Neurospora crassa OR74A: one gene and its partners. The protein of the gene in region 1 interacts with the protein of each later gene in a biochemical or structural test. Links are inferred from orthologs where the notes say so. Each region holds a gene or a part of one and is shown in the gene's direction. Other genes may lie near its edges.

Region 1 (4,160 bases):
GATGGTGGGATGAAGCAGACGCCAATAAGTGGGTGGTGGTGGTTGTGGTGGTGGTGTTGGACTGTGGCAATACCTCGTTCTCATCCCCAATGAGATGGCGTTTCCTTGGAAATGACACCGCTGCTGGAGGTCCCCGTACCGTATGGACCCAAGTGGTGCATACCGTAGGCTACATATCTATCTCCGTCGGATCCCGGACCGGGGCGGCCATGGAGCCTTCAAGACACTCGGGCCCCGGGGCCATGGGAATTGCGATCCGGACAAGCTCCAAGAGATCGTGATCAGCCAGGCTCCAACAGAAGAGACGGTAAAGAAGACATTGGATCTTCTGGAATTGCAATCGCGGTTCTCCAGGAGGAGTAATAAACAAGTAATGAACGGGGTACGACAAGGGACAGCGACCAGGTACGACGGCAACGACGCAGGGGAGGGACATTAGGTTGAAGAAGACTGAACGCTGACACAACGTCGGGGGCGGACCCAGCCACGCACCACGCTCCCACCGTGCTCACTAGGTACTACCTACGCTACGTACAACTGAACCGTCTGTCTAGCTGCACCCGTCGAACGGCACGCAGCGGTGACGACCCCGGCCGTGCTGCGATATGATATCCTTTTACATAGTATACAAGTCAGGTCGTGTAGGTATCCAATGTAGTTAGGTAGACTGAAATCAAAGGGGATCTTGAACGGGCTGCCAGTTGCCAGACGGGCATTGATGTCAACCTAGACGTCGCCTCCGAGGTGCGGAAGCCTCCCAAAGTGTGTTGGCGGCAGGAAGATCCCCTTTGCCCTCCCAAAATTAGGCGGTGTCTCCTACCCACTTTCCAGACGGATCGCAGGCCACTCAGGAATCCACCTTGAGCCACCTCGAATCAGGCATGATACTGCGACTTGACAACTTGTCCACGAAGATGCCAGAGGGCAAGGGGGCGGTGCGGCCAGTGATTTGATGATTTAGAGTAGGGGTGTGGAAAGCGAACAGCGAGGGAGAGGGGACGGCCTGGGAAGAAGGCAGCGCAGTTACCTCTAGGTTTGTACTTGTAGTCTACTGTGGTGATCCATCCCGTCGTGAACCGGGCAACATGGAGTGCAGGCAGCGCAGCAGCCCGGCGAGGATGAAATGAATGCTTGTTGGGACCTGGAAGTCGGCCGGGCACTCACTGTCAGTACCACTCAGTGACATCGGTGTCGTCCTTGCCCGCCTTTCCTTCCTCCTCCTCCTCCTCCTCCGCCGCCAAGTCCCACAACCACGCCGTGAGGTGACCAGGCCCAGTCCAACCAACTGGACCTAGCAGCCAGCAATGCCCAGTGCAGACAGTCCCGGCCCAGTCCCGTCCCCAATGGAATCAACCGTCCCCTCCCCTCCCCCCCCCAGTCCGCCATCCGTTCCCTCGCACCTGGCACCACAGCAATCCCATCCCCTTACCTCCCCTACCTTTACCCCCCTCAATCCACCCGCCGCCTCGTACTCCCAAAGCTGACCTTAAATTCACCTCCCCTTTTCCAACTCTTCCGCCTACCGAACAACATCCAAATTTTTGCCCAAACAACGTCTCTACGTCCTTCGGCAACACCTCTCTCAGCCAAAGCATCATCGCTCCATCGATCCGGGAATCGTCGAGCGTATTTAATAACTCTTCTTCTGTACCTTTTGCTTAATCCGACACTTTTCGTCACCACCTAATCTATCACAATGGAGGGTACGTAACAACATGTCCACATTCCTGCCCAGTCTGCCCGCGCTGGCGAGCTGGTCGCCGGCGGATCGGACTTCTACCATCGCCATCTCCCTCTACTGGTTATCATGGGCACAAGCTGATTCATGCGTTCCCGCCAACAGAAGAAGTTGCCGCCCTCGTCATCGACAATGGGTAAGCTTTCCCCTCCTTTTCGCCTGCGCCTCACCGACTCCTAGGAGAAGCGTCATATTCCTCCCGCAATCGACGCCTCGCGGCCCCCCCATAGCCCGTTCTACATGGTGAACAATGACGATGGACAGTAGCTAACAACCGCCCAGTTCGGGTATGTGCAAGGCCGGTTTCGCCGGTGATGACGCCCCCAGAGCTGTTTTCCGTAAGTGTTCCCACTATTCCCGCGAGGTGCTCTTGCTTGAGACGGGCAACGTGTCAGCAGAGCTACTTGCCTCCCCGCCAAGACCCAACGTCCCAGCCATGCTAACATGTCGCGATAGCTTCCATCGTCGGTCGTCCCCGTCATCATGGGTATGCATGCCACTTTCCCCCCCGCGTCCCGTGCGCGCAACACTCCAAGACTTTCAGAAAAAACTGACAACATGCCAGTATCATGATCGGTATGGGCCAGAAGGACTCGTATGTCGGTGATGAGGCTCAGTCCAAGCGTGGTATCCTTACTCTCAGGTACCCCATCGAGCACGGTGTCGTTACCAACTGGGACGACATGGAGAAGATTTGGCATCACACCTTCTACAACGAGCTCCGTGTCGCCCCCGAGGAGCACCCCGTCCTTCTTACCGAGGCTCCCATCAACCCCAAGTCCAACCGTGAGAAGATGACACAGATCGTTTTCGAGACTTTCAACGCCCCCGCCTTCTACGTCTCCATCCAGGCCGTCCTTTCTCTCTACGCCTCCGGTCGTACCACCGGTATCGTCCTCGACTCCGGTGACGGTGTCACTCACGTCGTCCCCATCTACGAGGGTTTCGCCCTTCCCCACGCCATTGCCCGTGTTGACATGGCTGGCCGTGATCTTACCGACTACCTCATGAAGATTCTCGCTGAGCGTGGTTACACCTTCTCCACCACCGCCGAGCGCGAAATCGTTCGTGACATCAAGGAGAAGCTCTGCTACGTCGCTCTCGACTTCGAGCAGGAGATTCAGACCGCTGCCCAGAGCTCTTCTCTCGAGAAGTCCTACGAGCTTCCCGACGGTCAGGTCATCACCATCGGCAACGAGCGTTTCCGTGCCCCTGAGGCTCTCTTCCAGCCTTCCGTCCTTGGTCTCGAATCTGGCGGCATCCACGTCACCACTTTCAACTCCATCATGAAGTGCGATGTCGACGTCAGGAAGGATCTCTATGGCAACATTGTCATGGTAAGTCCCCGTTCGCTGTGGAGATGGCAGTATAGGCTAGGTCCGCTAACAGAATCGTCACTAGTCTGGTGGTACCACCATGTACCCTGGTCTCTCCGACCGTATGCAGAAGGAGATCACTGCTCTTGCTCCTTCTTCCATGAAGGTCAAGATCATTGCTCCTCCCGAGCGCAAGTACTCCGTCTGGATCGGTGGTTCCATTCTCGCCTCGCTCTCGACCTTCCAGCAGATGTGGATCTCCAAGCAGGAGTACGACGAGAGCGGTCCCTCGATCGTGCACCGCAAGTGCTTCTAAAGTGGGTGCCCTTGAGAGGTGGTTGTTGCAGTTGGAAGCGGAGCGTCGTCGGCTTACACCATGTATGTAGTTCAATAAATGGACAAATCCACGACTGTCACGAGCCAGCGCCAACTGGGGACATAACACCCCTATCTGCGTCAAGTAGCATGTCTGCATTGCGCGTGTATTCTGCACAGGTCTCTCTTATACAAAAAGTAGCGAGCGTGGTCAGAAGGGGGCTGGCGTCTCTTTTCTCTACTAGAAGACATAAATAATGGCCTTTTTTTTCTGTTTTCTGGGTGGGCGGCGACGGCTGCGAATGCGTGGGATAGGCGCGGTCAAGTATGCGGGCTTCTTGATCTTGCCAACACCCTTTCTCTATTTACTACACTTTTAGCAGCAAGATTTAGTCACCACTGGGAAATTCGAGGTTATCGTGGATGAAGAGATCATCAAAATTCAAACAGCGTTCTGTATTTCTGAGCACCTTCAGCTGCCCTTTCGTTGGTCGTGAGATACGTGCAAGCCAAGGAGAAAAGGGGAATTGCTAGCCGTCAAGGTATCGGATCCACCGTAATGTCTTATTGACTTGAAGGGGAGGCGGCCATACCTACCGAATCCAACTAAGCGATCCTCACCGCTTCAGGAACCGAGTAACAAGCAGCCGTTTCCTTATGATCAAACATGGCCAGGATTGCAAACCAGTGGCAGAAACCACAGATGGCTTTTCGCTGACACAATGGGTAGGTATTCTTACTGTCTAGTGTCTACCGCCATCCGCATTGTTTCCTCCGCGCTTCTCAGCCTT
Region 2 (4,225 bases), on another chromosome or scaffold:
TACCATTTCTTGGAATATTACGCATTCACCTTTAGGCAGCTGTTGATAGTGTTCAGCGAAGCTGATGTATTACTAGGAAGGCATATCTTTTGATACTCAATTGTCTGGCATGCGGACATTTGCTGATATTGAAGCCTAAAAGTCCGTGAGAAGCTTGCGTTGCCATGGTGGCTGTGAGATATCAAGATGGGTTGGTTGTCAGAACTTGGAAACGCATTTGTGAATTGGATGAACGTCGATGTGATGGGAGCTTGGGCCAATCATTTGTTTGGTGGTGCCCGGTTGACAGAGGTTGACGAATTCAAGGTAATGTGGAACAGAAATTGCATGGTGCAACACTGAAACGGCGCCAAGTAAACATGTTTTAAGTGTAGTGGGACTCTTTTACCAGGTGGCAGTCTCCCCGTCGCTGCAGAGGCTCAGAGCTGTCAACTCGGTGTGCAAGCCACATGGCCAACCGTCTGCTTTCGTTTCGCAGACGACAACGAACTCCCGTCGACATGGAGACAGCACTCAGCTTCAGGGCAGTTAGGCTGTTGACGACGGAGCTGACTGTCGACGGAACAACAAGCAACCCCACCATCTCATAAGGATTCCTTCCAGGCGGTGGCCCCTCCCCCCTTCATCGACATCCACCTCAACCTCTTCATCCAGCCTCCATCCAGCCTCCATCCAGTTTCATTACCTCTACCGTTTTCACTTCTGTAATTTCGAGATCCAACAGGTAACTGCCCACTGTTGCCTGGCGGCTACAAATCCTTTCGATTACCGAGAATGATAAACGCGCGTTGAGGGAGGTGACTGTCGAGAGCCAGTGTACATAAAAGACGACGTACTCATTTCCCTGGTGGTGAAACGTAATCTCATCGAGAGCTTCCCGTGTTGTTCGTCGTTCACGCCGGCCAACCCCTGCTCTGTTCGGTATCATCAGTTCATCACAGCTTTTGCGGGCTCGTGAAAGACGCAAATCACCTCGCTGTGACAGAAGAGCCAAGTTTACTATATGGCTGATGAACGCACAATGGCAGCCCTCCCTTTCACTCTCTATGGATGGTAGGTAAGCAGGCATTGGAACTACACTACTAGGTATCACGCCGGCGTCGTTCACTTTGAGGGTACGTACCACTGGTATCGACGTCGAGCGGGATCCACTCTGCACCGTCCCTCTCCGTCCGCCTGTTGGGAGCCCACACCCAAAGTGACGGACGGGACGGAGGAGTCCACAATGCTGTTCACTGGCCAGCAGCTGCCCTGCTTTGCGAAGGGGGGGACTGGGGCTGATGTTGGAGCTGTGGTGTTGTGTTGGAGCAGATTAGAGGGTCAGATTGGCAGTGAGGTGCCCATCCACTGCCCAGTGGCCGGTGCTTAGAATAGAGGTGGTTGTGTGGTCAACGAATGGTGGCATCCGTCGGCGCCCTGGCCTCTCTCTGCCTGGCCGAGTGCTGGCTGACGGTGCCCGGGAATGGAACCCCTCGCTCCTTTCGCGTCAGGCTCCCAACCTTCAAGTTCAGGTCTCTTCCCAAGAGCTCTCTTCCCGGTCTCCGTCCCCCGTCCCCGTCCTTGCTTCCTCGTGTTGACAACTCCCGGCTCTCTACCTTTTACATACAACGGAACCATCCCATCATAGCACTCTTTCTACCTAATTGTACGTACGTATATTCGCCAGCGAGGTTTTAGCTTGACCGAGTTGTAGCCTTGCCGCCGTGTGCTCCAGTTTACAGTTCCAGTCCCCTTGCCGCCGCCTTTTCCAGTTCGAGTTCCATTTCCATGTTGCTACCCCTCGCCTCGCTCCGCCCCCCGACTGCCTTTTCTACTGTCCGTCCCTGTTGTGCTGACCCGACCCGACTGACTGACAACCTTCCCGCGCCATCCAGCTTTCGGCTCCCCTCTCCACATATAACGCTCGCCCCCCCCATTCTCGCGATCGGTTCACCCATCGTCGTCGACTTTTTGACAAGAACACTTTCACAAAACCACCACATCACAACTTGACATCATGGTAAATCATTCTCTCCTGCCCCCCCTTTCCTAACGCGCGCCGCCCCCCGCACCTTGCTTGTGAAACATGTCGCTGACTCCTTTGCCTTGTCGCAGTCTCAATCTGGGTTAGTCCTCCATGAACTTGCTACATCTTACCCCCCTCCCCGCCATTTTGCTTGCCTGCCCCTGGATCATCCTCACCGATGGATTCAGGAACCGCAATAACTTGACGCTACCCTATCGCCGCCTTGCCCGCCCGTTGCCCGTCCGTAGCCGCGATGCAACCAGCCCATTATCTCGAGATCCCTCCATCCTATATCACGCAGCAGCGACAGAGTAGCATCTGGCGGCCGGTAGCTAGCGCGCTGGGACATGGGGAGCGGGACCCGCAAAAGACAGCAACAACAACAGCATCGACAACACGCAATACATGGAAGAACTCAGAATAGCTAACGTACTCTGCTTGCGTCACTCTACAGAGTTCAGGTCGACCCCGAGTGCCGGAGGGCTTTCGACAAGCTGATGTCCCGTCAGCTCAGGTACATCATCTACAAGCTTTCGGACGACTTCAAGGAGATTGTCATTGAGAGCACCAGCGAGGGCGCCACCGAGAACTACGACGAGTTCCGCGAGAAGCTCGTCAACGCCCAGACTAAGAGCGCTTCTGTAGGTCCTTTCTTTCCCTAGAGACTGGTTGCTGCCAGTGTCGCAACCAACTCCCAGCCCAATCCAGCCCAGAATGCGAAAGAGAACTTTACGGACCCCCGATATCACCATCACCTCCTCCCCGCCCATCCTCACTCTTATAGTCCCTTTCTATTGCGGGCGAATACTTGTCTTGTTTATTCTCCTACCTGGAAGGGGAAAAAAGGGGGGGAGGACGGGAGGAGGGGTCTTGGAATTGAGGGGTTCTTTCACAAAAAGGCGGTTAGACACAGGGGACTGCCAAGACATGTCAACCCCCTGTCGTGGCATGTTCTGTGGACTTGATCGAACGGAGGAACATGATTATCTTCGGGAGAGCGCCGATCGCTAATGAATCACAACCGTTACAGGGCGCCATCAGCAAGGGTCCCCGATATGCCGTCTACGATTTCGAGTACAAGCTTGCGTCTGGCGAGGGTTCCCGCAACAAGGTGACCTTTATCGCCTGGTCCCCCGATGATGCTGGCATCAAGGTGCGTTCCCTTTTTTGTTTGCTCCCGACTCTTTTTCAAATATATATATCCCGAAGCGAACAAGTCGAACTAACTGACTCTCCCCAAAATAAAACAGTCCAAGATGGTCTACGCCTCTTCCAAGGAGGCCCTCAAGCGCTCTCTCAGCGGTATCGCTGTCGAGCTCCAGGCCAACGAGCAGGACGACATCGAGTACGAACAGATTATCAAGACCGTGAGCAAGGGTACTGCCGCATAGATTTCTCCATAATCGTATTAAGAACAGAGAGAGAAGAGAAGAGAAGAGAGATGAGTTGTTGTTGTTGATGTTGTTGCGCGTTGCGAACATAGTCGAAAGATGGTGTCCCTTATGTTGCTGTCGCTGTCGGCGTTGTTGTAATGACAATATAAACCACACGCTACTTATTTTGTACTTGCCAAATACCATTTACCACATCCAGACTACCACCACCTCTCCTCCACTTACTCAACTCAATTTTTCATATTACTATCCGCTTTGGTTTGGAAATTTCAGATATTCTATTCTGTTTACACTTGCGAGGAGTTCATTTTTCAATGTCGATGTCAGGTACGCTATCAAGGTAAAGTCTATGCATGAGAAAAGGGATACCCAACTTACGGTTCCCGGTCTAGCTCTGCAACATTGTCGACAGCATTCTTCGTTTGTGTTGTTGCACCTTAGGAGAGCCCGCCCACGTCAGAGTGAAAAACGTGTTCCTCCCCGTATATTCTATCGCGGATAGACCGATCGATCTACTATGTATGCTTAGCAGATCTGAAGACAGGGTGAGACCTCGTCAACATGTTGATCTGTACATACCCATATATGTGTCCACTACATCGCCATAACCACCAATGTTTGCAAAGTAGAAGATGTACTTTGTAGCTGTTCATGCCCCAGGAGCGCACATCGGTTGGCTCTTGTAAGAAACTTTAGCTCTCTTCAGTTACAGTGGATAGCCTTATTGCTTGAACATCGGATTAGTCACCTCACTCATTACCCACTTCATCATGTTATCACAATTATCACTTCAATTTCCACTCACATCTTGACCACCTCTCCTTCA
Region 3 (4,191 bases), about 350 kb from region 1:
CCGGCCACGGAGCAGACAAAAGGCGGCGACGACGCGGAGTCGGCGGCAAACCACCAAAAGCACCGCCTTTCTCCCCCCCCCCCCCCCCCCCCCTCCCCTTTTTTTTTCCTCCCAAGTCCCAGGCCCCGATACTCGGGCTGCCGGCCGCACGGGGGGCCTGGTGGGGCCCGTAAGTAGGTAGTCTCCAACAGTTTCCACAGTCTTTGACGACCCGCCATTCGCTGGCGCTCTTTTTACCCCTGCAGATTCCAGAAAGAAGAGAAGAAGGAACTGAACGCAAATGCAATTGATTGTCATGGTGCCAGACTCAGCCCGGTCCACCCATCAATGCCATAGAGGTATTGGTACGTATTTACACTATGCCCCATTTTGAGTTTGCCCATCTCTCTCCTTTTCAGGCGGACAGGTTAATGCATTTCAACTGTCAACAAGCGGGCAGACGGGCCAGACGGGGACCCAGTTGGATGGCATATCGAACGAACAAATGAACGAACGAACGGACCAGTGCAAACAATTGGCCATGGGAGTCTGGTAAGATTGGGCCTTACTTCCGTGAGTTCCTTCAGGGAGTTGTGTAAACGAAATGCTACCCTGATGAGGGGCGCCGGTGAGCTGTCGGGGAGAAATACAGAAACTCAGGGGAAGACCAAAGACCGTACATAATGAGAACGATGAAGCCATACAAATCAAGAGGGCTATAGATCAGGAGGAGAAACATGGTCGTCCTCATAGGATATCCTGACGGTTATTCACCCATTGGCGTGAGCCTCCAGAGACACATTTGTACATCTCAAGGTAGAGTGTAGACTTGGACATCGTGACCCATCTTGTACATCATGTCGTCTTCCACTGGACACCTCTCCGGACAAGACAAAGGTAACCCTTATACGCTGCTTAGAGGTGCCAGTCACCCATTGTTCTTCTTCGCCTTGTCTGTGTACTATGTAGCTTTCCACTTATGTAGAGTCGCGGGATTCCCAAGCATACCTCTAGGTATGTAATCTTCTTCGCAGTGTTGGTTAGTGCCCCCTTTTAAGGAGAGCCCTGCTTGTCCAGGTCATTTGGGAATTACGGCTCATTGGAGGGGCTCCATGGAGTCCAGCTCCCCAAGCCCACGAAAGAGTCCGTGCTTCGGTGTTAATGCAACGAGCCCAGCGACGCACCCAATTGGGCGGTGGCCGCCAAAGACCGACCACCTCAACATCCACAACAACGGGGCCCCTGTCAACGGAAGTGAACGTCGGCCGGGCTGTTAGCCTGCCACCACGACGGCCCGCCAGTGCTCTATCATCACCGGGCACCTCAGCTACACTACAAGCGGAAGCCTACCCCTAAACTTTCAACGACATCCCGTCTCGTCGTCCCGCCTTCTCGCCTACCCCGACTTTTGACTTGGTTGTTGACCACACCGGCCCGACAGGCTACTACATCAAGGACGTTCCCTCATCCACAGGTGCTATCTCGACCATCAGCCACTTCTATACAGAGAGGCTGCCACCGTTAAGAGAACCCGACTCGACCGCTCGACGAATCCGTTCTCCCACCGCAAGGCAGTGTGTTGGGTCCCCGCTCCGCCCGTTCTGCCCGCCCCGTTTATACGGCATTCCACAACCTTCCTGTCCTACACACAGTGACAGGACCTGACCTATTCCCGGTCAGCCAAACACCTACCAGCTAGCTCCCTTGGGCACGCAAAGCAAACAACAAAAGCAACAACAACATCTTTCAGCTGTTTCGTCCAAGAACAGCCCGCGCTACACTCCCATCGGTCCGACGACACGAGCCGAACCCCCTTTCGAACTCCTAGACCTACATCGTCTTCGACCACCTTGTTTGTCGGCTTGGGCTCCGTTGCCCGCACGATAGCAACATCTTTCTATACTTCTTTAATGTGTTGCTCCACGTCCAATCCCTATTTTTGTATCTAATTTCCCCCTCTTCCATTCCCTTCGTGAATGTTGTCTTCGCCAGCACCACACTCCCGCCGGCCCTTGGATTCCAAGCTTCCGCGACCGAACTAGCATCCTGGACCGCTCTTCATTCCGGTCGTTGCGTCCGCCATAACAGACACGGTCCACCATTATCCCTATCCACCCCCGTCGCCCCTAGCCGTGCTGGCCGTTCCGCCGCTAGAACTGGCTTCTTGAAGCCATCCAAATCCCACCACAACATCTCTTCCCCCTTGCTCCTGACTCGCAGGTTCGCGCCGATTTTCTCTCCCTCGAGAATACACCGATACAAGCGCATCCAATGTCGGAGAGCTATGATGTTGGCACTCGAGCCTGGCAGCCCGATCCTACCGAGGGTTGGGTTGCCTCTGAAGTAGTCAAGAAGACAGTAGACGGCAACAAGGTCACTCTTATCTTCGAGTGCGAGAATGGCGAGGTAGGTAGCTTATGCTTTCCCAAGTCTCGGCATATTCCGACTTTTGTGCTTTGGTTTACGTGCTTTGCGGGCTGGTGCGCTTCAAGATGCTAACATGTGTTACTGCCTGCAGACTAAGACCGTGGAGGTCTCCCTCGAGGCCCTCCAGTCAGGCGGCCATGAGTCGCTACCGCCCTTGATGAACCCAACAATGCTCGAAGCCAGTGATGACTTGACGAACCTATCACATCTGAACGAGCCTGCTGGTAAATATACACACACCTTTGCGCTGACTCGCCCCGCCATCGGGCGCACTCCGAGAACGTGATGCTGATAGCATGTGCTGTGCTTAGTGCTTCAGGCTATCCGCCTTCGATATGCCCAGAAGGAAATCTACACATACTCGGGTATTGTTCTAATAGCTACAAACCCGTTCGCGCGGGTTGACTCTCTTTATGTCCCAGGCATGGTTCAAGTCTATGCCGGGAAGCAAAGAGCAACCCAAGCTCCCCATCTTTTCGCCATTGCTGAGGAAGCGTTCATGTATGGGCTCTTTGCCAATTTGACGATTCATGTTGACTTGTAATCGCTGACATAACAATAGGGACATGTTGCGCGATGGCAAGAACCAGACCATTGTCGTGTCTGGTGAGTCCGGTGCCGGTAAGACTGTCAGTGCCAAGTACATTATGAGATACTTCGCGACAAGAGAATCGCCCGACAGCCCCGGATCACGAGTAAAGAAGGGTGGCCACGAGTCTATGAGCCAGACCGAGGAGGCTATCTTGGCTACGAACCCGATTATGGAAGCTTTTGGTAACGCAAAGACGACAAGAAACGACAACTCCTCGCGATTCGGTAAATACATCGAAATCATGTTTGACAAGGCCACCAACATTATCGGTGCCAAGATCAGGACCTACCTTCTCGAGCGATCGAGGTTGGTTTTCCAACCGTTGAAGGAAAGAAACTACCATATTTTCTACCAGCTGGTTGCTGGTGTGACGGACAAGGAGCGCCAGGAATTGGGCTTGCTTCCCGTTGAACAGTTCGAGTACCTCAACCAGGGTAACACCCCCACGATCGATGGCGTCGATGACAAGGCCGAGTTCAATGCGACCAAGGCATCTTTGAAGACCATCGGTGTTGACGAGGGCAAGCAAACGGAGATCTTCAAGCTTCTGGCTGGTCTCCTCCACTTGGGTAATGTCAAGATTGGTGCCATGCGAAACGACAGTTCCCTCGATCCTTCCGAACCATCGCTGGTTAAGGCCTGCGAGATTCTCGGCATCGATGCTCCAGAATTTGCCAAGTGGATCGTCAAGAAGCAATTGGTCACTCGTGGTGAAAAGATCGTGTCCAACTTGACCCAGGCGCAGGCTATCGTTGTCCGAGATTCCGTTGCCAAGTACATCTACTCGAGTCTGTTCGACTGGCTCGTCGAAATCATCAATCACAGTCTTGCTTCGGAGGAGGTCCTCACCAGAGTCACTTCCTTCATTGGTGTTCTGGATATTTACGGCTTCGAGCATTTCGCCAAGAACTCCTTCGAGCAGTTCTGTATCAACTACGCCAACGAGAAGCTTCAGCAGGAGTTCAACCAGCATGTGTTCAAGTTGGAGCAGGAGGAATACCTTAGGGAGCAGATTGACTGGACCTTCATCGACTTTGCTGACAACCAGCCCTGCATTGACCTTATCGAGGGCAAACTTGGTATCCTGTCCCTTCTAGACGAGGAATCAAGACTACCCATGGGTTCCGACGAGCAGTTCGTTACTAAGCTTCACCACAACTACGCTGCCGACAAGCACAAATTCTACAAGAAGC
Region 4 (4,244 bases), about 320 kb from region 1:
CCTGGCCCGCTGCCGTGCAAGGACTTCAACGAGTCCAGTTACAGAATGTGATAGTCTCGGCTGAAGAGGCCTTGAGGTTGTGATAAAAGGCTATGAGGCTGAACAAGCCAAAAGTGGTGGCCGCGGCGTAAAGTGCCCCTGTTGCCTACGGAGGTTCCGCTTGCGACAAACCTATGTAACATATACAAATGCGGCACGTAATCGCGTGCGGAAAGGTGTACCTGCGCTAACTGCGCGCGCAGTACATACTGTAGCCACCTGGGCTTGACAGCCCAGACGTTGTGGAACAGTGCACTGTAGAGTTCCTGGACTGGGCTCACCCGGCCCTTCCATGTATCGGGTCTCTGTGGCATGGCCCGACTGAGCGAGGCCCGGGCCCAAAATAGCAACGGAACGACACCCTCAAGGTTGATGAGATGCAGAAACCTAACAAACTGCCCTGATGATCCAGGGGTATCGACGGCCTCATGTAGGGATCTCAGAGGATGTCTTTCCAACCAACAACATCTGTTCCTATACAGTTTTGGACCTCCACAAGTGTGTTTCTCGCTCATACCTCTAGCTTGAGGACTTTTATTCTTTTGTCTTCAGATCATCTTGACCTCTTTTGGTTGGGATAGTGAGACGCAGGGATGATGATACTCGGATAGAACGGTGATGATTGGGCAAGGGATCATGAGCCAATCTTAATACCAGTTCGATGTGATTCCATCATATCAATCTGCCCCCACCAGGGGCAGTTTGGGAAGGTGGAGGATTAAGCCAAGTCATAGTTCCAGCCGCTATGCCTACTTATGCTATTGTATGGATGTACGCAGTACATAGTAATGTGGACATATATGGCGCCGCTGAATGTGCCACCAATGCATACGAAGATGACCTTTATCACCATTATGCGTATTGTTTCAGGTTGACCAGCGGCCTTTTCAGTGCTCAGTTGACAAGTTTCTATCATTGAGTTTCTTTCATCCTATTCTGTGCCGATTTGTGGTTCCATCACTTATATGAACCATCGGTTAGGTTCAGATGATGGATGTTTCGGATGGTGGATGGGAAAAAGAAAGAACGGAAGAAACCCGGACAGTCCCTGCGTCTTGACCACTAACAAATTCCCCGCCTGTGATTCAAGACATCAGGGGTGATGATGTGCCCAGCTAAGCCGCTTTCAGCGCATCGAGACCCCCTTTGCCGTGATGTTGAGGTCTCCCACCAGAAGGTGCAGCTGTTAAGAGAGTGCACGGTGCACCCTCCCGCGCCATGCTGGAGTTGCCCCTGCGATTGCCGAGCGTTGTTAGGTTCGCGTTCACACGGCAAGGAACCCCAACCTCACTCTCTCTCAAGTGATCTCTCATTCGGCTCATTCAACCACTTCACCTCAGTCCAGTCTCGCTGCAACTTCTGAATGGTCATCTGCCTCTGCCTCTCCTTTTCCCGAGCTTGTCTCTATAGCTGATAATTCGCGGGTGAGCCAGCCACCACCGGACAACGCTCCACCCGTCGTCGTTGCCATTGCTCCTTTTCTTTCCCAATCATCGCTCATAGAAGACCACCATTCATTTGCCGCCCGATCTCAAATCAACCTTCAATTTCGTCCGAGTGGGTAACTAAGCCCGTCCAAGACAGGCCCTCCAGTGCCCCACGCGCGCGCGCGCTTCCACCCCAAAGTTAGGTACCGCCAACGACCTGGGCCAAATCCACCAGACCCCTCGAACGGGAGAGTCCGTCCCTGACGAGCCCTGACGGTTTGACCAACGAACGGCATTTTGTTCTTCTCCTAGTTCAGCCTCGGCGTAGCTGTCTAAGTACTCTGGCACTTTTGGTAGTGAGCGAGCTGAGCGTCGCATACCTACCTACTCATCACCCCTCCTTGCCGTCAGCCAGGTCGCCAGTATACTGCCTCTACACTACACACTAGGTAGGTAACTACAGTACTCTATCTATACTTCCAACACGAGATCCAGAAGTCGAAGTCGACGACATCCTACACTACTACCTAGGTATTTCCAGGTTTCGCCGGCTACGCTACACGGACAGACGCGGGTACGGATATTTGCGCCCGCTCGTACATTTGCGACTTGACCCCTTTGACTTTCACTTGAGTTCCATTCCCTTCGAAGATCTGGATTGTATTGCCAACACGGTCTCGATGCAGTCTAGTTTGGGTCAGCACACATCCATACACATCTCGCCCGAGTGCGCTCATCCCACCAGCTAGCAGTGCTAGCAGCTAGCCTATCTCGAGGCCCGCCTCTGCGCAAAAGCTTGCCCGGGCACGGCTACCCTCCGAACTCCTCAACTTGACCTCATGCTAAAAACACCAATGGTTCATGCAGCAGGAAGGCCATGCTCACCAACCGTTATTGCCCGCAAAGAACATGATGCGATCCACCCAGGGCCTCAGACACCGAGTCCATTGACGGCATTTGCTCCGTATCCATTTCAACGCACTCATTTACCAATTGACCCACCCGCGCATTGATTGCCTATACAACTACCCACTCCGCGCCTCGAGACGAGACCCGACCCGGCCCGGCCCCTCGACACCCCTCGACGCCCCTCTACAGCGATCCAGATACCCACGATACCCGCTCGCCTATTGCTGAGGAACCACCCCCGAACAACACGTAGGCAGCTTGCGCTGCTGGGACTGTACTCTGGTGTACTGCCCTGCCGGTAGCGAAGCGGCCGCTTCACACATCCCGTCCCGCGCCATGTCCTCCCACGACAAGAATGGGAGGGCTACCTCCTCGAGCGGCAAGGCCTCCTCCTTCTTCTCGAGAGCCACTGGCAAGAACAAGGCCGACAAACGGAACGCAAGCGATGAGGGTGGCCGATACCTTGCCGCCGACAACGACGCCGCCAGCACCCATACCGCACGCAGTTCGCGCCATTACCGGGACTCGTCTGTAATATCGCTGGACCGTCCCGACACGCCCGAATCTGGCCTCAACATGACGGCAGGGGTCGTCACGACGATCCCCTATGACCCTGTTTCCCCCGACAATCGCTCCCCCGTCGCCCTCGACCACCTTCCCAGGCCCGACCAAATGCCCCTAAGGCGAGAGCTAGTACCGCACCACCTCAACAAAGGCACTGGTGACTTCCACCAGTATCCCACCATCGACCAAAGCCCAAGCTCCCCCTATAATGGGCAGTCACCCAGCGCATCAAGTTCGCGCTCAACTCTCGCTACTGCTAACATCACCATGGCCTCCACGGGCCGCCAGGCCCAGTTTCAGCAATGGGGACCACCGAGAGAGAGCAGTTTGCCCGGGTACAATTCCAGAGGCCACTCGTACATGACAACCCGCAGTTCGGGCGACAATGCCAGCATCTACTCAGGTAGGGACGGACACTACCAAGAAGCCCCAGGAACCAGCCATCGCTCATCCAGGATAGGACTCCCTAGTACTTCGTCTCAGTCATCCTACCTTTCTCCCCATGCCCATAAGGACAGAGATACCCAGCGGTTAACCAAGGTCGCTGCCGGCCACCAGGGCTCCGAAGGATTCAACTTTCCCAAGCCAGACGATGACAATGTGATTGAACAGATGTTCATAAACCTGATGCAAAAGCGAGGATGGCACAACCTCCCGGACCAGGCCAAGCGCCAGATGATCGCATACCCCGCCGCGAAGAAATGGACCTTGATTTACCAGGATCGACTCACCGAGTGGCAGGGCGAACAGAAGCGCAGACAGACGGCCAAGATTGGCCAATACAGCAATGTCGATATTACCCAATCCTCCGATGACGAAGGCAGCCCCGAGTGGTATGTGCGCAAGGTCATGGAAAACGCTCTGGACAGCAAAGGGCTCGGAGGACTCGAAGTCAACCTTCGGACACAGCAGATCGGCTGGGTCAAGCGCTTCATCGACTGTCAGGGACAGATCGCCTTGACCAATGTCCTGCTAAAGATGAACCGAAAGACTGCCTATGGACCTGCTCAGCCGGATAATGGAAGATTGGATAAGAATTTGGACCGAGAATATGACATTGTCAAATGTTTGAAGGCTCTTATGAACAACAAGTTTGGCGCAGACGATGCGCTAGCTCACCAACAGGTTATTGTGGCTCTGGCCACCTCCCTTATATCACCTCGGCTCACCACCCGGAAGCTTGTCAGCGAAGTCCTGACATTCCTCTGCCATTGGGGCGAAGGCAAGGGCCATGTCAAGGTCATCGAGGCCATGGACGTCGTTAAGGCCCAGCAAGGCGAAAACGGGCGCTTCGATGCTTGGATG
Region 5 (4,332 bases), on another chromosome or scaffold:
TCCTCCTCCGCACCCACCTCCGCTCTCCTCTCGCCCACCCCAACCCCGTTGGCAACCTCCACCACCTCAGCCGGGAACACTTCGGTCGGCAATCCACTTCCCAGCCAAAGCAACAACCAAAACACTTCTTCTCTCCCATTCTCCACAGCAAGATGCAGCGCCGTCTTGCCCTCGTTCAACGGGTCGCGGAAGGTGAGCAGTTGGCTGGGGGTGATGGTGGTTTCCTCATCTTCCGAAGCGGCCACGTCCGTTAGGAGCTCGATGATACCCGCAAAGTCGCCCTCGGCAGCCATGGTATGCATAGCGCGTGCAGGGCGCGCCGAAGGGTTAGAAGAGAGGTAGGCTTCTTCAGTGAGGGCAGGTAGGATGTCGAGGGAGGACTGGACACCGCCTTCGTTGTGGTATTGGGTGAGAATGGCGAGGCCCTGGGAGGTGGGGAGGACGGGGTTGGTCGCGCTCACGGGCACCGGGTTCGATGACCCTGAGAACCCCGAGGAGGAGGAGGAGGAGGAAGAAGAGGAAGAGTTGGTGGGCAGGTAGGTGTTGCAAGAGGGACAGCGGAGAGAGAGGGCCACGGAAGAGGAGAGGTCCATTAGGCATTGCCAGTGATAGTGGCAGTTGCAGGGGAGGAGGAGGTCGTCGGGGACTTGTTGGGGGTGAGCGGCGGAGGAGGAGGAGGAGGGGCCGCCGTTGTCATGATCCTGGTCCATTTCATTGTCTGAGGCGTTGGAGTCTTGGTCTAGATCGTAGTCGGGGTCGACTTCGAGGTAGAGAGGTTCTGAGCAGGCTTTGCAGAGGGACATCTTGTGGTGTGGGTTTGGTGGTAGTATCTGGTTGGGGATTAGTTCAGTGATCACTGGATGGATGGATGAGGAACAGTGGGTAGTATGAGATATTGATGCGGTGACTTACCTTTGACAAAAAGTGAGGTAGTGACTTTGTGTTTCTTACTTGGTTGAAACAACGCGCGTATAGAGGCGTCGTAATCCCAAGTTGCAAATTCTTGCAGAACCTCAATGATTTGCTGAAAAATGCTTGGGGTCGTGGTGGCTTAGACAGATGTGAGGTTATCCCGACGATGCGAATGGAATCAAAGGAACGTAAAATTCTCTACTTGCTGTTAGTGAGGTACAGCGAGGGTCCTGACGCTCAGGGGGGTCACCATGAATGAGCCAGTCGCATGTGGAACCGAGGTGTCATTTGCGAAACTAGCACAGGTCCACGCTTAACAGAACTCCCGCCAGTCCTAACCCAAACGGATGGAAGCCTGGCGGTGGTTCACGGTTCCCATCCAACCTAATGCAAGTGGAAAAAGCCAGGCAGGCCACCAGGGGCAGGGTTGTCGCCGGGCTGGCTGCCTGAAGGGATGGCTGATTGGGCCGCGACGGCATTACGACGCTGGGCGATTACATCAGACTGCTTCTGGGACCTGCTGTGTTAGTGCTTGTCTCGGGGATTGCGATGGATGGCGTCCCCGCCCCCGCCAGCCGTACCTTGACGCCCGCCTGTAATGGCCATGCTCTTTTGAGCTTCGCTTCCCATCTTCGGCCGGCGACGCATGAAACGGGAGCAGGAATAAGGCACTTCATCCATCATTAGCAGCAGGAACCGGGACTCATACAAATAAATACCCAACATCCAACTCCGCTTTTCCGCCAGAGCATCCATAGATCCAGTCATCTTCATCACCCAGCCCAGCACCGCCTACACTACACCCATTAGGAAAATAATCTAATAAACGACGACCGCATTGGGCGTCTTCATTACTTTTGTTAATAGAGGGGCTATCTCTTTCCCACGGTTCCCGCCGGATCACTTTGCGAGCGCCATTCATCACCAAGACGAGTGGTTCCCGACCGACCCCTTTTTCAACACCACCATCCGCAACCATGAATGTCCTCAAGATCCAGAGGTAAGAAGACGAAGACGGGCCTTCAAAAGCCAAGGACGACAGGGGCAACAGCAGAACACAGCTAATGGAACTAGGAAATTCCCTCAACTACAGCAGAGCGACATCTTCGGATTGGCCGATGCCTTCCGCAAGCTCGACGTAGACGACAAGGGGTACATTGACGAGACCACTGCCATCAAGGCCACCCAGGCCAGCGAGCGCCAGCCCTACGATGCCGTCCGCGCGGCCCTCAAAGAAGTCGGTCTCGATGCCTCGCGCCGTGTAGAACTCGAAGATTACGTTGGGGTAAGTCGAAGCCTTCCTCTCCACTGTTGCAGCACCACCACATACATCTCACTTCTTGAAGGCCACCCAGGTCGCATTCCGTATACTAGGTACCATTCATCAAAAGATCTGGCTGACACTTTCCACTCTGTAGCTCGTCGCGAAGCTCCGCGAAGGTCCCGGCAGCGCCCCTGCTGCTCCGTCAACTCCCGCTTCTGTCATCGCCCAGCGGACGGGAGGCGCTACTCCTAGCCACGCATCGAAGCCCTCCGTCGGTGGCAGCGGCAAGATCTTCGTCCAAGGCTCAAACGCTAACATCACCCACACCATCAACGAAGATGAACGTACCGAATTCACGCGCCACATCAACGCTGTCCTTGCGGGCGACCGCGACATCGGCAGCCGCCTGCCTTTCCCGACCGACACCTTCGAGATGTTCGACGAGTGCAAGGATGGTTTGGTTTTGGCCAAGCTCATCAACGACAGCGTTCCCGATACCATCGATGAGCGTGTACTGAACATGCCCGGCAAGAAGACCAAGACCCTCAACGCGTTCCAGATGACAGAAAACAACAACATTGTTATCGAGTCGGCAAAGGGTATTGGCTGCTCCGTCGTCAACATTGGTAGCTCGGATATCATTGAGGTCAGGGAGCATCTTATCCTGGGTCTAATTTGGCAAATCATCCGTAGGGGCTTGCTGAGCAAGATCGATATCAAGCTCCACCCCGAGCTCTACCGCCTTCTCGAGGAGGACGAGACCCTCGAGCAGTTCCTCAGACTCCCTCCTGAGCAGATTCTCCTGCGCTGGTTCAACTACCATCTCAAGGCCGCCAACTGGCCCAGGAGGGTAGCCAACTTCTCCTCTGACGTCAAGGATGCCGAGAACTACACCGTCCTCCTCGCTCAGATCGGTTCCGACTACGGCTGCACGAGGGCGCCTCTGCAAACGCGCGACCTTCATCAGCGGGCTGAGGAGGTTCTTCAGAACGCCGACAAGCTCGGTTGCCGCAAGTTCCTCTCTCCCTCTTCCCTCGTGGCCGGTAACCCCAAGCTCAACCTCGCTTTCGTTGCCAACCTCTTCAACACACACCCCGCGCTTGACCCCATCACTGAAGAGGAGAAGCTTGAGGTCGAGGACTTTGACGCTGAAGGCGAGCGTGAGGCCCGTGTGTTTACCCTGTGGCTCAACAGCTTGGACGTCAACCCCGCAGTTCAGTCCTTCTTCGACGACCTCCGCGATGGTACCGTCCTTCTACAAGCATATGACAAGGTTATCAAGGGTTCCGTCAACTGGCGCCACGTCAACAAGGCTCCCGCGCATGGCGGTGAGATGCTGCGTTTCAAGGCCGTCGAGAACACCAATTACGCGATCGAGTTGGGCAAGCAGAACGGGTTTTCCCTGGTTGGTATCCAGGGTGCCGATATCACGGATGGTCAGCGCACCTTGACCCTGGGTCTCGTCTGGCAGCTGATGCGCAAGGACATTACCCTTACCCTGCACGGTCTAGCCCAACGCCTCGGCAAGCGCGAGATTACGGATGCGGAAATGGTCAGATGGGCCAACGAGATGAGCCGCAAGGGCGGCCGCAACTCGAGCATCCGCTCGTTCAAGGACCCTGTCATTGGCTCGGGTATTTTCTTGTTGGATGTGCTTAACGGCATGCAGAGCAACTATGTCGATTATGACTTGGTTACTCCCGGCAAGACTGATGAAGATGCTTACCTCAATGCCAAACTCAGTATCAGCATTGCCAGAAAGATGGGTGCCACTATTTGGCTGGTGCCAGAGGATATCTGCCAGGTGCGCAGCCGCTTGGTCACGACCTTTATCGGTAAGTTGCTCCTTTTGATTATTGGGCTTTCATTTGACTGGCCGGGCTAACACATGCACTAGGTTCGTTGATGGCTACCTATGACAAGATGCAGTAGATACCAAGTATAACGAGAAATGATGAAGTGGTCTTGCTTGATAATTGGAGATGAATATAAACATACAGCCTTGTTAGGGCGATGGACTTAAAAAGTTGAACAGGCGAATTGCGTTTTACGAATGTTTATTCTCTCTTGGTACCAACCCCTCACCTTCCCAAGCCATTTGACATTAAATGTTCAATTACCCGATGGTTGCACCGGGAATCCCAAAGGCTCGATCA
Region 6 (4,300 bases), on another chromosome or scaffold:
ACAAGGGGGTTCCGACCAGGTCGGCGGCCGTCAGTCGTTTCTTGGGAGTGGTGTACTTGAATTCGCGGCGCTCCGAGGAGCCGACGTAGCCGTTCCAGCCGCGGGTGGTGAGCCGGGTGGGGTCATGGCGGAAGACGGCCGAGGTGGACCAGCCGGTGATGAGATCGGTGATGGCCTGGGGGAAGTCGGAGCCCTGATCGACGATCCAGCCCACGGTGCGGGAGAGGTCCGGAGCTGGAGAGAAGAGGCGGGCGCCGAGGGCGGAGTAGGAGCCGGCGCCTCCTAAGACGTTGGTTGATGGAGGACGGGGCGGAGGGTATTCGATTTCATCTGATGGGGTGCTTAGTTGGTGCCTGATTGTGGTTCCTGGGCACTTACCGATGATGAACATGCCGAGGGTGACAAAGTCTATTATTGAGGGAGTGTCGTTGATATCTTGCCATTCTGAGCTCTCATCCGAGGCTTTGTCAACATCGTCTGGACTTTGGCCGGGCACTTCCGGGTTGCCGTTATTGTCTGTCATATTGTTCTCTGTGGTGACTGTGTAGGATCAATCAATTGTAGTGGACGCTTGAAAGGAGTGTATGCGAGTACGACGCGGCAACGGCCAGGCGATGATAGACAACAGGTGGGTGTGGGCTATGTAAGTGAGTGACACTGAAAGGGGTTATGAGAGTGAGACACCGATGGAGGGATGAAGACCTATTTGGAAAGATGGACGCGTATGTAGATATTGATGTGGCTACTGGCTAGGCTACCTCTATTGCTAGTCTGCTATTTCTGCCTGACCATCAGGCGGCATAAAGCATAAAGAGCCTGATGTTTTGATAACTCAACGTCTTATTAGCTAGAATCAGCTATCTGGGGTAGGTTTTTTACTGCGAGGCGTAGGAATGGAGAAAGGGGACGGACCCGCGGGACGGGAGGTTATGGGATCGATCCTGTCATCTCGATCCTCGACACTTTAAATGACTGCTTGTGCAGACCTACTCATGTCAAGTCTTCAGCATCAGCATCAGCATTACCGTTCTCGTATATACACAGCTAAACAAGCAGCGAGCTTCTGAACGGGGAGAGTGCTTGTTGTTGATCCGGTTGCAGTAGCACGATGTGACTTGTTGTTTTTGTTTAGGTATGCTTGGTGAGGTGGTAACTCATATGTGGATATGAGGCGTGGATGGTGCCTGTACGCCCAGCGGGCTTTTGGTGGCCGTGCACTCTAGTCTACTGCAGAGTCGTGAGAGCGGCCAGCAAGGTGTTCGTTCTTTCTTGTTGGAGGATGTCCCGAAACGCGTAATTTTAAACGATGGATGAGACGACCCACCATGACCCCACTATGAAGCTATCGTGGGGAAGCAGCTCATCACCTAGCGTGCTGCGTCTACAGAAGGTGTGCCCCGTACACTGTGGCCGCCCGTAGGCAGTGTACAAGCATGGCAGGCGCCAGGGGCAGATGCCCGTGCTAGGTAGGGGTTGTGTGACGAGGGGTTCCAATCGACGAGTTGTCAGCCCGGACCGTCAACCTTCAGACATCCCATGTTCCAGCACAGCAGATCTTGGGGCACCTAACTACACCTTCCCAGACCTCCTCCTTGTGCAAGTTTCGGGACTCTTTTCTTCCTCTTTCTCCATCTAGCGATATCTTCTTATTCCTTGTAAATTATACGGTTCAGCGAAAAGGGTAAGTGCTTCTCATCAAGATATTCAGGACGATACCTTCCCTCTGTTTCAACGAGCTCTCTTCCACCGGAGGTATCCGGGTCTGCCCACGGCACTCTCTTCACATCATCATCAAGGCAGGATCGCTAATACCGCAAGCTGGCACCGACAGTTCTAATCACAGAGTACACCTTGCTCCTTCCAACTTCTATATTACTCGACCGCGAAGCCTACTACGTTTCCAAAGTCCCGCCTAAGGGACCATCATAATCACAATGGCGACCAACAATATGCACAACTTGGTCACCTTGATCAAGAGGTACGCTTCAGCTTTCTTTACCGCAACTTGATATCGCCACACCTACGAATAGTTGCTTTCTTCTACAACACCCGCATTGCCCATTATTTTACCTGGCGCATTCTTAGCCATGCCGATTCCATGGGAGCCGCTCTGAGGCTAGGACGACGAAGATCCAGTCCCCGAGCAAGGAATGCGCCAGAAAAATCGGCGCAAAGCGAGAAAGAAAAAAAAAAGACTACGAGTGAATAATGGTCAAGGCACGTTGCTAAGTACTTGCGCAGACTTGAGGCGGCCACCCTCCGTCTGGAGGATATGGCTTCGTCCACCATCCCCCCTATTGGCTCCCAGGCCGTCATTGAGCCGGCTTCCTCCGCCCCCTCCGCCCCCGCGTCCACTGCTGTGTCCACTCCTGCACCCGCTGCCGCAGTACCAATTCCCGAATCTGTCGAAAAGTTCGACGACTTCTTGAACCAAACTGTTCAGAAATATGTTAAGACCAGCAATCTTATCGGTGGCTTGGTTGCTGAGCAGGTACCTATCCTGCACAGTTCTGGATCTATTTTGTGGGCAGAGAGCGGGAAGCTGACCATTTTTATCAGGCTGCGAGTGTCCTCAAGGGATTTGCCGAGACGCGCAAGTTCCTACTCGCCGCCTCCCAGTCCAAGAAGCTCGACATGAACTCGGTCGATTTCCAGGAGGCTATCAAGCCTATCAGCGAGGCCATCCAGGCCACTCAGGAAATCAAGGACAAGAACCGCGGTTCTCCCTTCTTCAACCACCTCGGCATGGTGGCCGATGGAATCATGCTCCTCGCTTGGATCACTGTTCAGTCTAGGCCTGACAAGCTCATTGATGAAAGCCTGTCATCTGCCGAATACCTGGGCAACAGAGTCATGCAGGCAAACAAAAACACTGATCCCCAGCATACAGAATGGGTCAAGACCTTCTACCAGATCTTCAAAGACTTGTCGGAATATGCCAAGGATTACTACAACAACGGCATTGTGTGGAACCCTAACGGCAAGCCTTACAAGGAGGTCGTCCAGTGTCTTGAATCCGGCAGCGCTCCCTCGGCACCTGCCGCGTCTCCAGCCCCGTCCGGAGGAGCTCCTCCTCCGCCACCTCCTCCTCCTGGACCTCCTCCGGTACTCAAGATTAATGAGCAGAAGGCGGAACCGGCCCAACCGGGTGGTTTCAGTTCCGTCATGTCTGAGCTCAACAAGGGCGAAGCAGTTACAAAGGGTCTCAAGAAGGTCGACAAGTCGCAGATGACACACAAGAACCCTTCCCTCAGGGCAGGATCAACCGTTCCCGACGGACCAGCGGCACGGTCCAAGAGCCCTGCGCCGCCTGGAACCAAGCCGCCCAAGCCTGAGAGTATGCGTGCGAAGAAACCTGCAAAGAAGGCTCTCGAGGGCAACAAGTGGATTATTGTAAGTTCTCCAGCCGGACATTGTGGTGTAAATTCAAGGTTTTTGACAGTGCTTTAGGAAAACTACGATGCTGCCGCTGGCAACGTTGAGATCGAGGCCTCCATTTCCCAGTCCATCCTCATCAGCAGGTGTAATGAAGTCGTCATCGTCGTCAAGGGCAAGGCCAACGCTGTCAACATTGACAACTGCGACAAGGTGTCGCTTATTGTGGACACTCTTGTTTCTACTGTCGACGTTGTCAGGTCCAAGAACTTCCAGCTCCAAGTCAACGAGACGATCCCCACTGTGCTTTTGGATCAAGTCGAGCAAGCCACAATCTGGCTGAGCAAGGAGAGCATCTCGACAAGGGTGTTCCAGAGCAAGACGGACAACGTCAATATCATGGTTGTGGACGAGAACGACGACTCCAAGGAGCTTCCTCTTCCTTCCCAAATCTGCTCGTATTACGATCCCGAGAAGAAGGAGCTTATCAGCGAGATCGTTTCTCACTGTGGTTAATTCATATTTGGTCGCTGCTTCGTCGAGATTGTCGGAAAAAGTGAGTAGCTTGATGCGAGGTGGCGTTTGGTTCTGATCGTGAGCGTTGTTGTCACATATTCTCCAATTTACATAATAGCACGCCTTGATTTGAATATTCGTGGATGGCATGTTCTGAAGCGGGCGTGAAATCATCTTCAATCCCGCAGGTATGCCAACTCGACAGTACCCATCATCATTTTCAAGAACCATATCATCTCATGACGTTCCTATTTCAATTGAAAAAAACGCCGAACACCTTTGCCTATCAATGACAAAACTTGGCTGTTTATGGCATGTCTCTCTGTCTAGACCATTTCCGCCGTAGTACTTTTCTCATCCATATCTATGACCCACCTAAAATCATCTCTACCTGTTTCCTAGACACAGC
Region 7 (3,746 bases), on another chromosome or scaffold:
GCTGAGAGCACCGGATTTGGGCGATGACTGCCTTGTCCTTGGTAATGACTGTCGAAGAAGTACGAAGCATGCGGTGTATCTTACATGTGTACGTCTTTTACCATGCTGTCAGAGCCAGGCGCTAGACTCTCAGGCCAGCAATTCTGATGTCCACCAGCGCGCCAAGACTTCGGTTTAATGATGTTAAAAGGGGCCGGTTATGAATCCGAAAATGTCGAGGCTACGTCTCAAAGATGCACAACTCCAGTCAGCGACAGCCTGCCTGACTGGAACCCTGGACATCACACGCCCTTGAGCCAAGATTCGTATGATATAGGAGCTGCCGGCTTGAACAGGTAACCTTTGGTTTTCACCATACCTTTAGATAGGTAGCTTATACCTCAGGGATTTGTGCCTGTTGTTGGCGCCTGGGTCCCGTCGTCTCTTTGTTGAAGTTTGTCATGTTGGATGAAATGGAGGTCTAGAGGAAAGAGGTGCTGAATGGATCTCTGATTCGCCGTGCACTAACCGACATCCACGAGGCAAGCCGAACGCTAGAGCATGCGTCTGCATTCAAGGAGCTCCGCTTGTTGTTGGGACGACAGCGGGATGGATCCGAATGCTTGACCCTCTTGGCGTCATATGCAAACTGTTTTCTGTGCTTTCCAACCCCGTCATCATCTTCACTGATGTGTGCGCCATGCAGACAACGGGCGTACTTTGCTGCTCCTCTTTGTTGAGATGAATGAGGGGCATCGGAGCAATGAACCCAACATGGTGTTGGGGCACAGCATCAGAGAAGATGGACGTCTGTCAGAATATCTTCATACTGTTGTTGATGTCAGACTGAAACGTCGAGAGTACGACAGCAAACTCTTCTTGCTGTCCGTCTCGGCGGTCAATGAGGCGGAATGGGGTCGTGGAATTCCACGGCCCTGCAAAAGAACGGTGAAGAATTCCAAGTCTGGATGAAGAAGAAGCTGCCACCTGTTTGTTGAAGAGGGGCCCACTGTTGACCACTTCGGTTGCTCCCGTCGATCCAGCTTGGAAATGCCGCTGGGAGTCGATGGAAGGATGCTTGGTCCTAGAGGCTGTCTGCTAACAATCACCGTGTTGAGTTTATACGATCGTATGTTAAAGAGATACATACCTACCTAGTGTACAAGTAAGTCTCACCTGCCGAACCCCTCCGCGACTCCGAAGAGGTCAACGTCCAGGCAACTTCCTTTGGCGGGGCACCTCGCTGAACCTACCTAGTGACGAGGAGGGGCCTGGCTGGTGAGGGGGCTCCTCTCAAGAGCTTCTCTTCCAATCCACACAACGGGAATCCACAACCACCAGGCACCGTTACCCGGCCCCATTCACCAGCTGGCCTTCGCTGGCTTCCCGGTTTAGCCCACTAGAATCCCAGGGGGACCAGTGAGTCGTTCCCCTCCACTGTCATGTCACCGCTTCCCCTTTTCGCATCCAATCCATAGAGGTATCCAGTCGCCGCTCCGCTATCTTCCGCCGCCGCTTAGCCCCCCCAAGACTACCGGCCCCCCTCCCCCCTTTGCCAACCGAGCCGCGTTTGTTTGGGTTTCCCTTTTTTTAATCCTCCCCGAAAGCCAGCTTCTTCGTCGTCGTTGTCTGTCGATACACTCCTCCTTCAACTCAACCACCGAGTCCTTTCCATCACACCAACATCACACAAATCCCGACAAAATGTCCTGGCAAGGTCAGTGCCTGTTTCCGCCTGGGCCCTCTTCCCGTCCTTGGGAGCTGTTTCACGCCCAACCCCACCTCGACGGAAGCTGGGAGAATAAGCAAGCTAACCCCGAATGTCTTGAACAGCCTATGTTGACTCGAGGTACGATATACCATTGGAAACCACCCGAACCCATGAACACAACGAATTGCGACGCCATCGACTGCTAGGGGTGTGATTGCCTGCGCCTGATGGTTGTTCGGCTTCGGCCCCAAGAATGCGGAGAACCACCTGTACATGGAAACGGACATGGACATGATGAGCTAAGACGTAATCTCCTACATATAGCCTTGTTGGCACCGGCCACATCGATAAGGCCGCCATCATCAGCGCCGCTGGTGACAGCACCTGGGCTGCGACTCCCGGCTTCACGGTACGCCTTGTCTCGCCAACTTCCCCCCGATTTCTGCCCGCACCCTTTCCCTGCCCTCATCTCTGTCTCTCCTTCGGGCGCATAAACGGTCGGACATCTACAATGTCCGAGAAATCCTGGTCAGGGAGGCTGTTTGCACCGGGGAAGCAGAGAGCGGGGTTGATGGCGTGATAGGACCCCCCGACGATGTATCGGGCGCCAAAGTTCCAGAGAAAGCTAACAATCTGTGACGTATTATAGCTGAGCCCCGATGAGATGAAGTTCATCTCCGCCGTCCTCGGCGATAATGGCAAGGGCTCCAACGTTGACAAGGTTTTCGCTGAGGGTCTCCACGTTGCCGGTCAGCGCTACGTTGCCTTCAACATCGAGGGTCGCCACGTCTACGGTCGCCAGGTGCGTACTATCTCTATCCCCTTATCGTGTCTCAACCTCAGACGCCCGAACTTTAGTCGGCCGCGCTGCTCCAGGCATCCCCTTTCCAAGCCTCGTATGTTCAAGCTCACTGATGGTTTTTCTTCCCCCCAAAAATAGGGCAAGACTGGCGTCATCATCGTCAAGACAACACAGGCCATCCTCGTCGCCCACTACGGCGAGAACGCTGTCGCCGGCAACTCGACACAGACCGTCGAGGCGCTCGCCGATTACCTCGTCAAGGCCGGATACTAAGTCATGTCGGGAGGTAGTGGGAAGAAGGATGAGATGATTGGATGTCTTAAGAGTCACTGAACAAGAAACAAATGAAAACGGGATGAAGACAAGGAAGACGAAAGATGGGAAGACGGAAAAGAAACCGAAAGACTTTCCTGTGAAGGAGTATTGGGGACTGGTGTACTGGATGGATGATATCCTTAAACAGGCATAGGCCCTTGGGAATTTTTTTTTTCTGGAACTGACAGCACACTTTGGCGGAATTTGCCTTTCCATGTCAGTCGAGGCTGCCGGTGGTGAAAAACGTTCCTCGTCCGTTGTTCCATCATTGGGGTTATATGGTATCGTGATTTTGTAGACAATTTAACACCCCCCCCACCCCGGAACCATCTATAGTATTTGATTCTTCCTCTCAAAATTATGCATGAAAAGAAAGCCCGATACTTCCCTCTTCATATTACAACTTGGGTATCCCAAAGTTCGCTCCAACGCCGTTTGTGTGAATGTGCATGTTGATCGTGGGCATTAGACCCTTCATAGGCGTTCCCTCTCCTTTTCGTTTCACAACCGTCGTTTCTTCGTTCATGTTCCCGTTCGCCTCGTATTCTTTCTTTTGCCCTCCCTTTCATAGCGCGAGCGCTGAACCTGTCTTGCGCCCGACCCGCCGATGTCATTCAACCGAACGGCAAAGCGAGTATTCGTGAGCTTTCGAAGAGCGGCGCCATGGCCCAGACCATATCCTCGTTCGGCACGTTTGCACTATGCCACGGCGCCCTCGCCTTTTCCCCTCAACACTCAATCCCTCCATTTAAACAGGCAAATCCGCATTCTGCCTCGCTACCACACCAGACCGATCAACCGCGGTGCCGATATAAGGTCCAATAACAGGAATGTTGCGCGCGAAACCCGCTATCGTTCCCAGGAAGTCGCCAAAGAGGATCATGATCCCATAAAGCTCCACGCAGAAGCCGATCAAAGGCCAGCGCATCAAAATCAAAG

Evidence for each region.
Region 2: the proteins of act (region 1) and NCU01587 form a complex in vitro, tested with the Saccharomyces cerevisiae proteins (12 studies listed by BioGRID, with this or other methods). The link is inferred for Neurospora crassa OR74A from reciprocal best matches to the Saccharomyces cerevisiae genes ACT1 and COF1.
Region 3: the proteins of act (region 1) and NCU01440 form a complex in vitro, tested with the Saccharomyces cerevisiae proteins (3 studies listed by BioGRID). The link is inferred for Neurospora crassa OR74A from reciprocal best matches to the Saccharomyces cerevisiae genes ACT1 and MYO2.
Region 4: the proteins of act (region 1) and bni1 form a complex in vitro, tested with the Saccharomyces cerevisiae proteins (4 studies listed by BioGRID, with this or other methods). The link is inferred for Neurospora crassa OR74A from reciprocal best matches to the Saccharomyces cerevisiae genes ACT1 and BNI1.
Region 5: the proteins of act (region 1) and fim form a complex in vitro, tested with the Saccharomyces cerevisiae proteins (2 studies listed by BioGRID). The link is inferred for Neurospora crassa OR74A from reciprocal best matches to the Saccharomyces cerevisiae genes ACT1 and SAC6.
Region 6: the proteins of act (region 1) and NCU08008 form a complex in vitro, tested with the Saccharomyces cerevisiae proteins (5 studies listed by BioGRID). The link is inferred for Neurospora crassa OR74A from reciprocal best matches to the Saccharomyces cerevisiae genes ACT1 and SRV2.
Region 7: the proteins of act (region 1) and NCU06397 form a complex in vitro, tested with the Saccharomyces cerevisiae proteins (4 studies listed by BioGRID, with this or other methods). The link is inferred for Neurospora crassa OR74A from reciprocal best matches to the Saccharomyces cerevisiae genes ACT1 and PFY1.

Annotation. Positions count from the first base shown.
Region 1 is NC_026505.1:5,085,410-5,089,569, forward strand, and holds act (actin, variant), read left to right. Parts: upstream 1-1,360; 5' UTR 1,361-1,696; coding exon 1,697-1,703; intron 1,704-1,843; coding exon 1,844-1,874; intron 1,875-2,020; coding exon 2,021-2,076; intron 2,077-2,194; coding exon 2,195-2,225; intron 2,226-2,303; coding exon 2,304-3,075; intron 3,076-3,139; coding exon 3,140-3,370; 3' UTR 3,371-3,371; exon of another isoform or gene 3,372-3,440; 3' UTR 3,441-3,838; downstream 3,839-4,160. Other genes in the region: NCU04174 (hypothetical protein), read right to left, coding at 4,113-4,160. UniProt on the Saccharomyces cerevisiae protein: Actins are highly conserved proteins that are involved in various types of cell motility and are ubiquitously expressed in all eukaryotic cells.
Region 2 is NC_026502.1:3,015,316-3,019,540, forward strand, and holds NCU01587 (cofilin, variant), read left to right. Parts: upstream 1-1,414; 5' UTR 1,415-1,645; exon of another isoform or gene 1,646-1,874; 5' UTR 1,875-1,996; coding exon 1,997-1,999; intron 2,000-2,094; coding exon 2,095-2,105; intron 2,106-2,459; coding exon 2,460-2,646; intron 2,647-3,035; coding exon 3,036-3,158; intron 3,159-3,255; coding exon 3,256-3,396; 3' UTR 3,397-3,687; downstream 3,688-4,225. UniProt on the Saccharomyces cerevisiae protein: Controls reversibly actin polymerization and depolymerization in a pH-sensitive manner. It has the ability to bind G- and F-actin in a 1:1 ratio of cofilin to actin. Binding to F-actin is regulated by tropomyosin.
Region 3 is NC_026505.1:4,738,409-4,742,599, reverse strand, and holds the start of NCU01440 (myosin-2), read left to right. Parts: upstream 1-1,294; 5' UTR 1,295-2,250; coding exon 2,251-2,385; intron 2,386-2,497; coding exon 2,498-2,630; intron 2,631-2,717; coding exon 2,718-2,907; intron 2,908-2,968; coding exon 2,969-4,191. UniProt on the Saccharomyces cerevisiae protein: Myosin heavy chain that is required for the cell cycle-regulated transport of various organelles and proteins for their segregation.
Region 4 is NC_026505.1:4,767,584-4,771,827, forward strand, and holds the start of bni1 (cytokinesis protein sepA), read left to right. Parts: upstream 1-1,368; 5' UTR 1,369-1,915; intron 1,916-2,333; 5' UTR 2,334-2,711; coding exon 2,712-4,244. UniProt on the Saccharomyces cerevisiae protein: Required for the assembly of F-actin structures, such as actin cables and stress fibers. Nucleates actin filaments. Binds to the barbed end of the actin filament and acts as a leaky capper, slowing both polymerization and depolymerization.
Region 5 is NC_026506.1:2,369,726-2,374,057, reverse strand, and holds the start of fim (fimbrin), read left to right. Parts: upstream 1-1,475; 5' UTR 1,476-1,889; coding exon 1,890-1,912; intron 1,913-1,986; coding exon 1,987-2,197; intron 2,198-2,330; coding exon 2,331-4,011; intron 4,012-4,073; coding exon 4,074-4,108; 3' UTR 4,109-4,332. Other genes in the region: NCU03993 (hypothetical protein), read right to left, coding at 1-830, 913-1,110, 1,163-1,165. UniProt on the Saccharomyces cerevisiae protein: Binds to actin, and functionally associates with actin structures involved in the development and maintenance of cell polarity.
Region 6 is NC_026504.1:3,897,148-3,901,447, forward strand, and holds the start of NCU08008 (adenylyl cyclase-associated protein), read left to right. Parts: upstream 1-1,411; 5' UTR 1,412-1,681; intron 1,682-1,831; 5' UTR 1,832-1,934; coding exon 1,935-1,978; intron 1,979-2,241; coding exon 2,242-2,491; intron 2,492-2,559; coding exon 2,560-3,393; intron 3,394-3,450; coding exon 3,451-3,891; 3' UTR 3,892-4,300. Other genes in the region: NCU08007 (PfkB family carbohydrate kinase), read right to left, coding at 1-523. UniProt on the Saccharomyces cerevisiae protein: The N-terminal domain binds to adenylyl cyclase, thereby enabling adenylyl cyclase to be activated by upstream regulatory signals, such as Ras. The C-terminal domain is required for normal cellular morphology and growth control.
Region 7 is NC_026504.1:2,646,438-2,650,183, forward strand, and holds NCU06397 (profilin), read left to right. Parts: upstream 1-1,234; 5' UTR 1,235-1,683; coding exon 1,684-1,696; intron 1,697-1,812; coding exon 1,813-1,828; intron 1,829-2,014; coding exon 2,015-2,099; intron 2,100-2,339; coding exon 2,340-2,492; intron 2,493-2,630; coding exon 2,631-2,765; 3' UTR 2,766-3,209; downstream 3,210-3,746. Other genes in the region: NCU06396 (Got1 family protein), read right to left, coding at 3,556-3,746. UniProt on the Saccharomyces cerevisiae protein: Binds to actin and affects the structure of the cytoskeleton. At high concentrations, profilin prevents the polymerization of actin, whereas it enhances it at low concentrations. By binding to PIP2, it inhibits the formation of IP3 and DG.